Caenorhabditis elegans: one gene and its partner. The protein of the gene in region 1 interacts with the protein of each later gene in a pairwise test. Each region holds a gene or a part of one and is shown on either strand. Other genes may lie near its edges. The genes, in order: tln-1 and F13H10.1.

The links.
Region 2: the proteins of tln-1 (region 1) and F13H10.1 interact in a two-hybrid assay, tested with the Caenorhabditis elegans proteins (one large-scale study listed by BioGRID).

The regions. Positions count from the first base shown.
Region 1 is NC_003279.8:1,719,924-1,724,785, forward strand, and holds the start of tln-1 (FERM domain-containing protein), read left to right. Parts: upstream 1-1,668; 5' UTR 1,669-1,673; coding exon 1,674-1,806; intron 1,807-1,986; coding exon 1,987-2,536; intron 2,537-4,862.
Region 2 is NC_003282.8:11,002,418-11,005,711, forward strand, and holds F13H10.1 (MADF domain-containing protein), read left to right. Parts: upstream 1-2,155; 5' UTR 2,156-2,167; coding exon 2,168-2,309; intron 2,310-2,354; coding exon 2,355-2,428; intron 2,429-2,486; coding exon 2,487-2,627; 3' UTR 2,628-2,652; downstream 2,653-3,294. Other genes in the region: F13H10.9 (uncharacterized protein), read left to right, coding at 3-151, 588-723, 768-875, 926-991, 1,280-1,384.

The DNA of each region.
Region 1 (4,862 bases):
TTCGAAAAGCACCGATTTTTGACATTCTTTACAAAAAAAGTAACCCAGAAAACTATGATTTATGCACCGGCGTTAATTTTTTGGATTTTTCATCACAAACGCGCTCCATTGATGATTTATCAACAATTTCTGATTTTTGACACCAAATTTTCATTAAAAGTTAGCTACTTTAAAAATTTACGGAATTACAAACGCGCCCCAATGAGAATTTATTGGAAATAACCAAGTTTTCAATTTTCAAGTGCATTCAAAGTCAGAAAAATGCGGAATATTTTTTATTTCTATATTCCTAAAATTTTTGAGTGTCCCATTTTGGTTTGATCTACAAAAAATGCGGGAGAACAGACGCAGACTTTTCAACTGATTGGTTACGAACGTGCTGACGTCAAATTTTCGAATTTTTCTGGAAGAAAAATTCCCGCAATTTTTGTAGATCAAACCGCAAACGCGCTCTTTTATAAAAATTTTCAAATTTCATATTCCTAGAGTCTCCAAAATTCTTCCAATTTTCTTTTATTTCATTTTCACGAAATTTTTTCATCCTAACCATTAAATGGGCGTGGCATATCCCAGAAACTAGTAAGCACTTCTCCGATGTTCTCTCACTATCCTTACTCAAAATGAATCATAAAAATGCAAATTCGTCAACATGAAACGGACAGTTAATGCATTTGAAAACGGAAGGAATGTGGCCTTGTCCCTCTAGTTCGCCCCCCCCCCCCCCCATCCGCCTTCCCATAGCTCAATGTGCACAAAGTGTGCTCTCCCCACGCAACCCGCCTACGATCATCTTTCTTCTTCTTCTTCATCTTCTGCTCCTTCTTGCCCTGATGCCTTCCTTTACACCCGACAAAAAGCTGTGTAAAAATGCCGCTGCCGGTTGGCATCTGTTGGAATCTCTAGAGACACACTATCTATTACATATGTTTCAACACCCTGAACTTTATCGATTTTTTAAAGATAGGACTGATAACAAATTCTGTGTCTCATTTTGGTTTGATCTACGTAGATCTACAAAAAATGCGGGAGAAGAGACGTAGAGTTCTCAACTGATTTGGCATGGTTGAGAACGTTCTGACGTCACATTTTTTAGGGCAAAAAATTCCCGCATTTTTTGTAGATCAAACCGTAATGGGACAGCCCCTGACACCACGTGTGTCTACCGTTCTCAAAAACGGATGATCCATTATTTTTTGTGAAACGTATAAAAATGCCCGAAAACAATTGCTAAATTTTCTGGACCAAAGCCTTTTTTCCTTTTCATGCGCCCAAACGTGGTCACACTCAAATTTTCAGTAGAGCGCGTTTGTATGGATGTACCACTTTCCGGGTCGTCACGTAGTTTTAAGCTGTCCCATTACGGTTCGATCTTCAAAAAATGCGGGAATTTTCTGCAAAAGAAATGAGACGTCAGCACGCTCTTAACCATGCGAAATCAGTTGAAAATTCTGCGTCCTAGCAACTCCCGCATTTTTTGTAGATCGACGCAAATCAAACGGGTCGTGTTTAGGAATATTCGGAAAAACATTTGAATAACCGTTTTTGAAATCTAAAAAGCTTCCAGATAAACCGCAAATCCTTTGTCGTAAATTGATTCCTTCAATTTCTTCTTTTCTTTTTTTTGAACTTCCCCCGCCAAACTTTCCTTATTATCAATTTTCTCTTCAGACACCATGGGAGTCCTCAGTCTGACGGTCTCGTCAGCCGAGAAGGGAATCAAGAAGACGATGCAGTTCGAGCCGTCCACACTTATATACGATGCCGCCAAGCTTATTAGGGAAAAATTCGCGATGCACGATGTTAATGGTAGGTGGCCTAGAAATTATACTCTTCCATAACAATTTGAAAAATGGGCGTGGCAACGCCTAACAAACCACGCCCAGATATGGACTAAGGATAATTTTTTTTCCTCCTTGGGACAAAAGTTGGCCCTATACAAAAATTAGAAAAAAAATCAGTTTTTGCCCAAAAAAATTTTTTTTGCAGCAAATGAATACGGAATCTTCCGGCTCGACGAGAACCCATCAAAATCACTCTGGATGGACAACGGGCGCACATTTGAGCACTATTTGGTGCGTAACAAGGACGAAATCGAGTACAAGCGGAAGATCCGTCTGCTCAAAGTTCGAATGCTCGACGGAGCCGTCAAAACGATCTCCGTTGACGAGTCACAGCCCGTGTCGCAGCTCATGATGACCGTCTGTAATAAGATTGGAATCTCGAATTACGAAGAGTACAGTCTTGTTCGAGACGATATTCTTATGCAGAACGGTGGCGGCGGCGGCGGCGGCGGCGGACAAAATGGAGGTTCCACGTGGAATTTGAAGGAGAAGGAGAGTAGATCAAAAAGCTCTGATCGTGGCGGCGGTGGAATCTATGGGACGATGAGAAAGAAGAATGAGCAAAAGTTGGAGGAGCTCCGCAAAAAGTTGCATACCGATGAGGAACTTCCGTGGCTGGACCATACGAAGACACTTCGAGAACAGGGGATTACGGAGGAGGAGACGTTGATCTTGAGGAGAAAGTATTTCTTTAGGTATGGAAATGCTAAGTTAACTGGCAGAATGCAGGATAGGGTGCTAAAATTACCAAATTGGTATCATAGTAAAACTTTGGAAAATGTTTTGAAAATTAGTATTCTGAACTAGGGCTCCCAGGCGCGAAATGCAGGCCCGTGTGTGTGTGTGTGTTTGTGCAATAAAGTTCGAAACGTAGTTATTTGGAAGCGGCCGACACATTCGTGGTTCCGCAGCTTGTCATAAGTAGCTTGGTGTGTGCGTAATTGCGCAACCCTGAAAGTGTCGGCCGCTTCCAAATAGCTTCCTTTTAGCACTACGTTGCGCAACGTAGTGCAAAATGTGAGTTATTTGGAAGCGGCCGACACGTTCGGGGTTCCGCGCCGCACTATCCATTCGGATTAATGCGGCGACCTCATGGGAGTCCTGTTCTGAACATAAGTCGACTATTGTGAATTTTTATCCGAAAAAAAAAAAAAAAAATTACAATTTTTTGTAAAAATTCACAATTTTAAAACTCCTTTAAAATGGCTAATTTTGTAGTAAGAGAACTCAAAATTGATCTCCGAACCCTAAAAATTGGTCCTTTTTTAGAAAATAGTAGTTTCAAACATTTTCAGAAACATTTTTTTTTTGTCCAAAAAAGGACAGTCATTAGATAGCTGAAAAAACAAATTGGGCAAAAATAAAAAATTGCCTAAATTTATTTAAAACGGGTAATTCATATATGCTGAATTCAGCAAATCTAGGTTTAACCCATCAAAAACTATTAAAAAGTAGCAAAAATGGGCAATTTTTGGTAAAAATCACAATTTTGAAACTCCTCTAAAATGGTTAATTTTGTAGTGAGAAGACTCAAAATTCACTCAAAAACCCAAAAAAGGACAGTTTTTTGCCCAAAAAAAAATGTTTCCTGAAAATGTTCCAAACTATTAGAAATTGAAAAAGGACAATTTTTTAGATGGCTGAAAAAAAATTGGACAAAAAAAAATAATAAGTTGTCTGAATTTGTTGAAAACGGGTAAAATATTAGGTTGGTCGAAAAGTCTTTGCAAAATTTTGATTTTTTTTTGGAAGTAGTATTTTTTCAAAGCGAACAAGATTCAATGGGTAATATATTTACCATTAATGCCTATGACTTCTTGCCAACACAACGGAAGTTGAACAGTACCCTCCGCCTAGAACTCCTGCGATTAGGAGGCAAAGAAGTCGTCCAACCCCGTTTCGACGACCTTTCGATCATGAAACTTCTGCCCGGCAAGGTGATTCTGGAGTGAGCGGAACAGATGGTAGTCAGTAGGAGCCAAGCCCGGCGAATACGATGGGTAAGATAAAATTTGGATTCCGACTGTCTGGAGCTTCTGGCGGGTCTTAAAAGTTGTATGCGGTCTTGCGTTGTCATGGAGCAGCAACAACTTTGATCCTCTAGGGCGATGTAATCGATGAGCATGGACCATCTTTTCCAATTAAATGCAGTATAGGCCAGCGTTGATTGTAGCAAAGTCTGGAAGAAGCTCTCTGGAAATGACACCCTTACTGTCCCGCCCAATTGAGAGAAGCACTTTTTTCCGTGAAGTTCTAATTTGAGGTCAGGTGTCGCGGTTTCCTCGACCGGGACCCACTCTTTTTTCCTGGTATGGCTAACATACAATACCCATTTATCATTTCCAGTAATGATATCCTTAACCCAGTCCGTTGTTCGTTTCCTAGTGAGCAGCGAAAGAGAGAGGTCACAAAACAATTTTTCTGAGAATCGGGCAAATTGTGAGGAACGAGTTGACCGAACTTTTCTACCCTTCCGGTTTCGTGGAGATGGTTGATGATGGTTTTTTGGGGATGCTTGAGAGTCGCAGAAAGTTCGCGGTTCGTTGCTCTTGGATCATCTTCCAGGGCTCTCGAAATATCCTCGTCGATATTCAAACGAGAGCGATCTTATCTTGGTTTATCATCGAGATCGTAGTTCTTTTTCGTGAACTTTTCGAACCAAAACTTCATGGTATTATAGGTGACAGAGTTCTTGCCTAACACTGCACACATGTTACGACGAGCTTCGTTGCAATTGCAGATTTGGGGGAACTCGTACAGAAAAACCCATCGGAGGGCGTGACGTTCGGCGAGCAAATTCTCGGTCATTTTGAACAGCACCCAAAAGTTTTTTTTAAATATATTAAACATGCACATTACGTACTATGCAAATAAAAAAACAGAATCAGAAAAAAAATGAATTAACGCTGAGAAATGAAGAAAAGTACAAATTTTGCAAAGACTTTTCGACCAACCTAATATATATGCTGAATTTAGATAATCCAGGTTTAACCCATCAAAAACTATTAAAAAATTGCAAAA
Region 2 (3,294 bases), on another chromosome or scaffold:
AGTTAATATCGATAGCGGTCATTGTTCTCGTCTGTGTGATTCTCTCAATCTGTTGTATCTGTATTTGGATGTGCAGATGTCGTCAAGATCAAGTTCGAGCCAATGAGGAGAAGAACGATCGAGCGACCCAATTGCAGAATTTTGAGGAGGGGTAAGGGTTTTGATTCTCAGACAAACGCTTAGTAGTCTAATTAGATTTCAACCATATTTGATTAGAAACTGAGCAAATATAATGGGGACATAATTAATAGGCTTCCTATTCTAATCCAATATGGATTTTCTAATCAAATATGGTTGAAATCTAATCAAATATGGCTGAGATCGTGCCATATTGGATTAGATTTCGACCATATTGGATTAGATTTGTTTTCTAATGAAATATGGAGGGAATCTAATCTAACATGGATTTCTAATCTAATATGGAGCAAATATAATGCAATATGGATTTTCTAAACAAATATGGTTGAAATCTAATTAGACTACTAAGCGTTTGTCTGAGTGCTACTGAAATTGTGATCTAGTTTTCTAAAATTATAACAAAGCAAATATTCATTTCAAAAACTGATACAATTTTTTTCATGTTTCAGGCAAGCTAAGAACGGCGTGGTTCAAGCAAGCATTAAACCAGGGAATCGATTAAATATCAAAGACATTTCAAAATCCACGGATACTGTGAGATCTCATCGAGAAGAATCATCTAGAAGCCATGAAACAATTGGACAGGTTAGTTATTAATTAAGAACAAAAATTATAAATATGGATTTCAGTATGAAGAACGAATAACCGGTGTGTCAAATGCTTCCAATAATAATTCAAGATCCGGTGCAGCTACTGGAATTGCACAGAGATTTAGAGATGAAGAAGCTGCGAAAAATGTAAGAAACTTTTTTGAAAATTAAACGGTTTTGTTGATTTTTATTTTTAGAAACGGCTGGACACCATATCCGAGATAGCAATGTCAAATGATTCATTGCAAAGGAATGACTCAAAGGTACATAATCTATTAATATTGAACTCTAACACGCTTTGAAAATTAGTATTTCAGTCTCTTTTAGTCTTGCGCTTTTTTTTGGATTTCAAATTCAACAATTAAAAATTTTAAGAAACCACTTTTCGTGAAAGTTGAAAATCACTATTTCTAAATAATAATAAAAACTTGTAGTCTCCGTTAGTATTGCGCTTACATAAATTTAGTAGAGTTTGAAATCAATGTAATCTATGAAATCAAATAATGGAATTATTTCAACACCACATTTCGCAAAATAATAATTGTTTTCAGACAAACGTATTCAATAACATTGATGGTTCACGAAAAACAATATCCCCGATGGAAGTTGATCTGAATCCGGGTTTGAGCAGTTCGATCAATTTGGAAAAAATATGATTATCACTAGCTATCACCATGTCTAAAACTATATCATTTTTGAAATCGATATCATGATGGAAAAACGGAAGATCTCTTGTTTCTTGAAAAATAAAGTTATTTCCTAATATATTTTTAGCTTCAAAATATATATAGTAATTGTCACAAAGGCAGACTCTGATTTAATAAAATATGTGAAACCAGGTGTGGGCGGCGATTGAAAATTTTTGGCAATTGTCAGTTGTTGTAAGTTTTCATATCCAAACGATTATTTTGAAATTTTCAAATATCACATTGCATTCAATAATTATCTGGCAAATCCCAAAAATTATGTTCATGACTATTAGAAAAGATATAAGTATCTCGTCATTGGAAACCAGACATTTTTCCATCTCATCTTACAGTAATTCCAATTACACTTTTGCATCTTACGTACAATTTAGTAGAAACCCAGCGCAAAACGAAATGCGATATCATGTGAGAACAAACATAATACAAACAAATACATATCGGTGAGTCTCCAAGAAGTTCAAGCTTTTCCCAGTCTGTTTGCTTTTTGGGCCTTCAAAACTTTTTTTACTTTTTTGCGCAAGCATGGTCGTTGAGAAGTGTTAGGACACTCCTTTTTTCCACTCCTTCTTCATCCAAAATGAATGACAAAACTCTTGAGGAATTCACTTTGAGCGTCCACCACTTTCCAGACACTTTCACACATTTTTAATTTGTTTTCATGTCTTTTTTCTTTACTTAAATCTTCATTTTAAAGATTTAATTATACTTTAAAAATAATAGTTCATAGTTGCAATGTTGGATCACAATAGACTGGAAGAATTTATCGAACAAATTCGTCTTACTCCAGCAATATGGAAAAATCGAGAATTTGATATATCTCGTGAGCATATGAATGAAATTTGGGCTCATTTCGGGCACACTTTTGATATTTCTCGTGAGTTTTGCACATATATGAAAATAATATCCAACAGATTTTTAGCAAAGGAAGCTGAAATGCAATGGGAATATCTCATTCGGCTTCATCGATTTATGAATAGAAATGCAAGTTTAGAGGTGAGCAGAACAATTTAAATTTCAAGAAATAAATTTCAAACGAAATGTTTATTTTCAGCAATTTCGAATTGAAGTTCCTTCCCTAGAAGATGATTTTACACCGGCAGATACTCTTGTTGCTGAATCACTTGCTATTTTCTTGAAACCAACATTAGATGAACTTTTATTGATATCGAAACCATCAGAAACTTCCGTCTGAAACTGCAATAAATATTTTTTGTTTTTTTTAAATATTTAATATTGCTAAACGATATTTTGAAACTTACAAATGTAGTGATAAAGTGAGTTTTCAAATCCAATCATTGCCAGGAAAAAGGTTTTTTTTAATTTTGGGGAAAGAAAATAATAAACTAATAAGTTCTGAAAGTAGATTTTCTGGAAAAATGTTTTCTCAATTTATATCGGCCTGCTAATGTAAGCCATCCAAACAGCGCTAAATTCACCAAAATTCCTTATGATTATTTTTGTACAGTTTTTACGCGGGTATTTGCAACTCATTACTTTGGAAATCGGTCAAAAAATTGTTCCACTAAAAATAATATTAATAATATATGTTGATTATGTTTTTAAATGCCCGGGGAGATGATCGATAATGCGACAAAAGACTGTAATTCTAAAGAAACACACATTTTTAAAAATTGGAATTTTGCCAAAGCTTTCATTCAGAAATTTATAATTATGATTGATTTTCAAATGTGCTATTCAGCAATGTTGAACTATTATTCGTCTTATAATATATACCCAGTATCGATATCGACCTTCTAAAATGAAAAATCACACAGATAAAACTTCCGCATTTTTCAACTTATTGGTTTAAACGATCAGAAAAAGAGCACAAGAAGAAATCACAGCAAGTCATAGTTTAA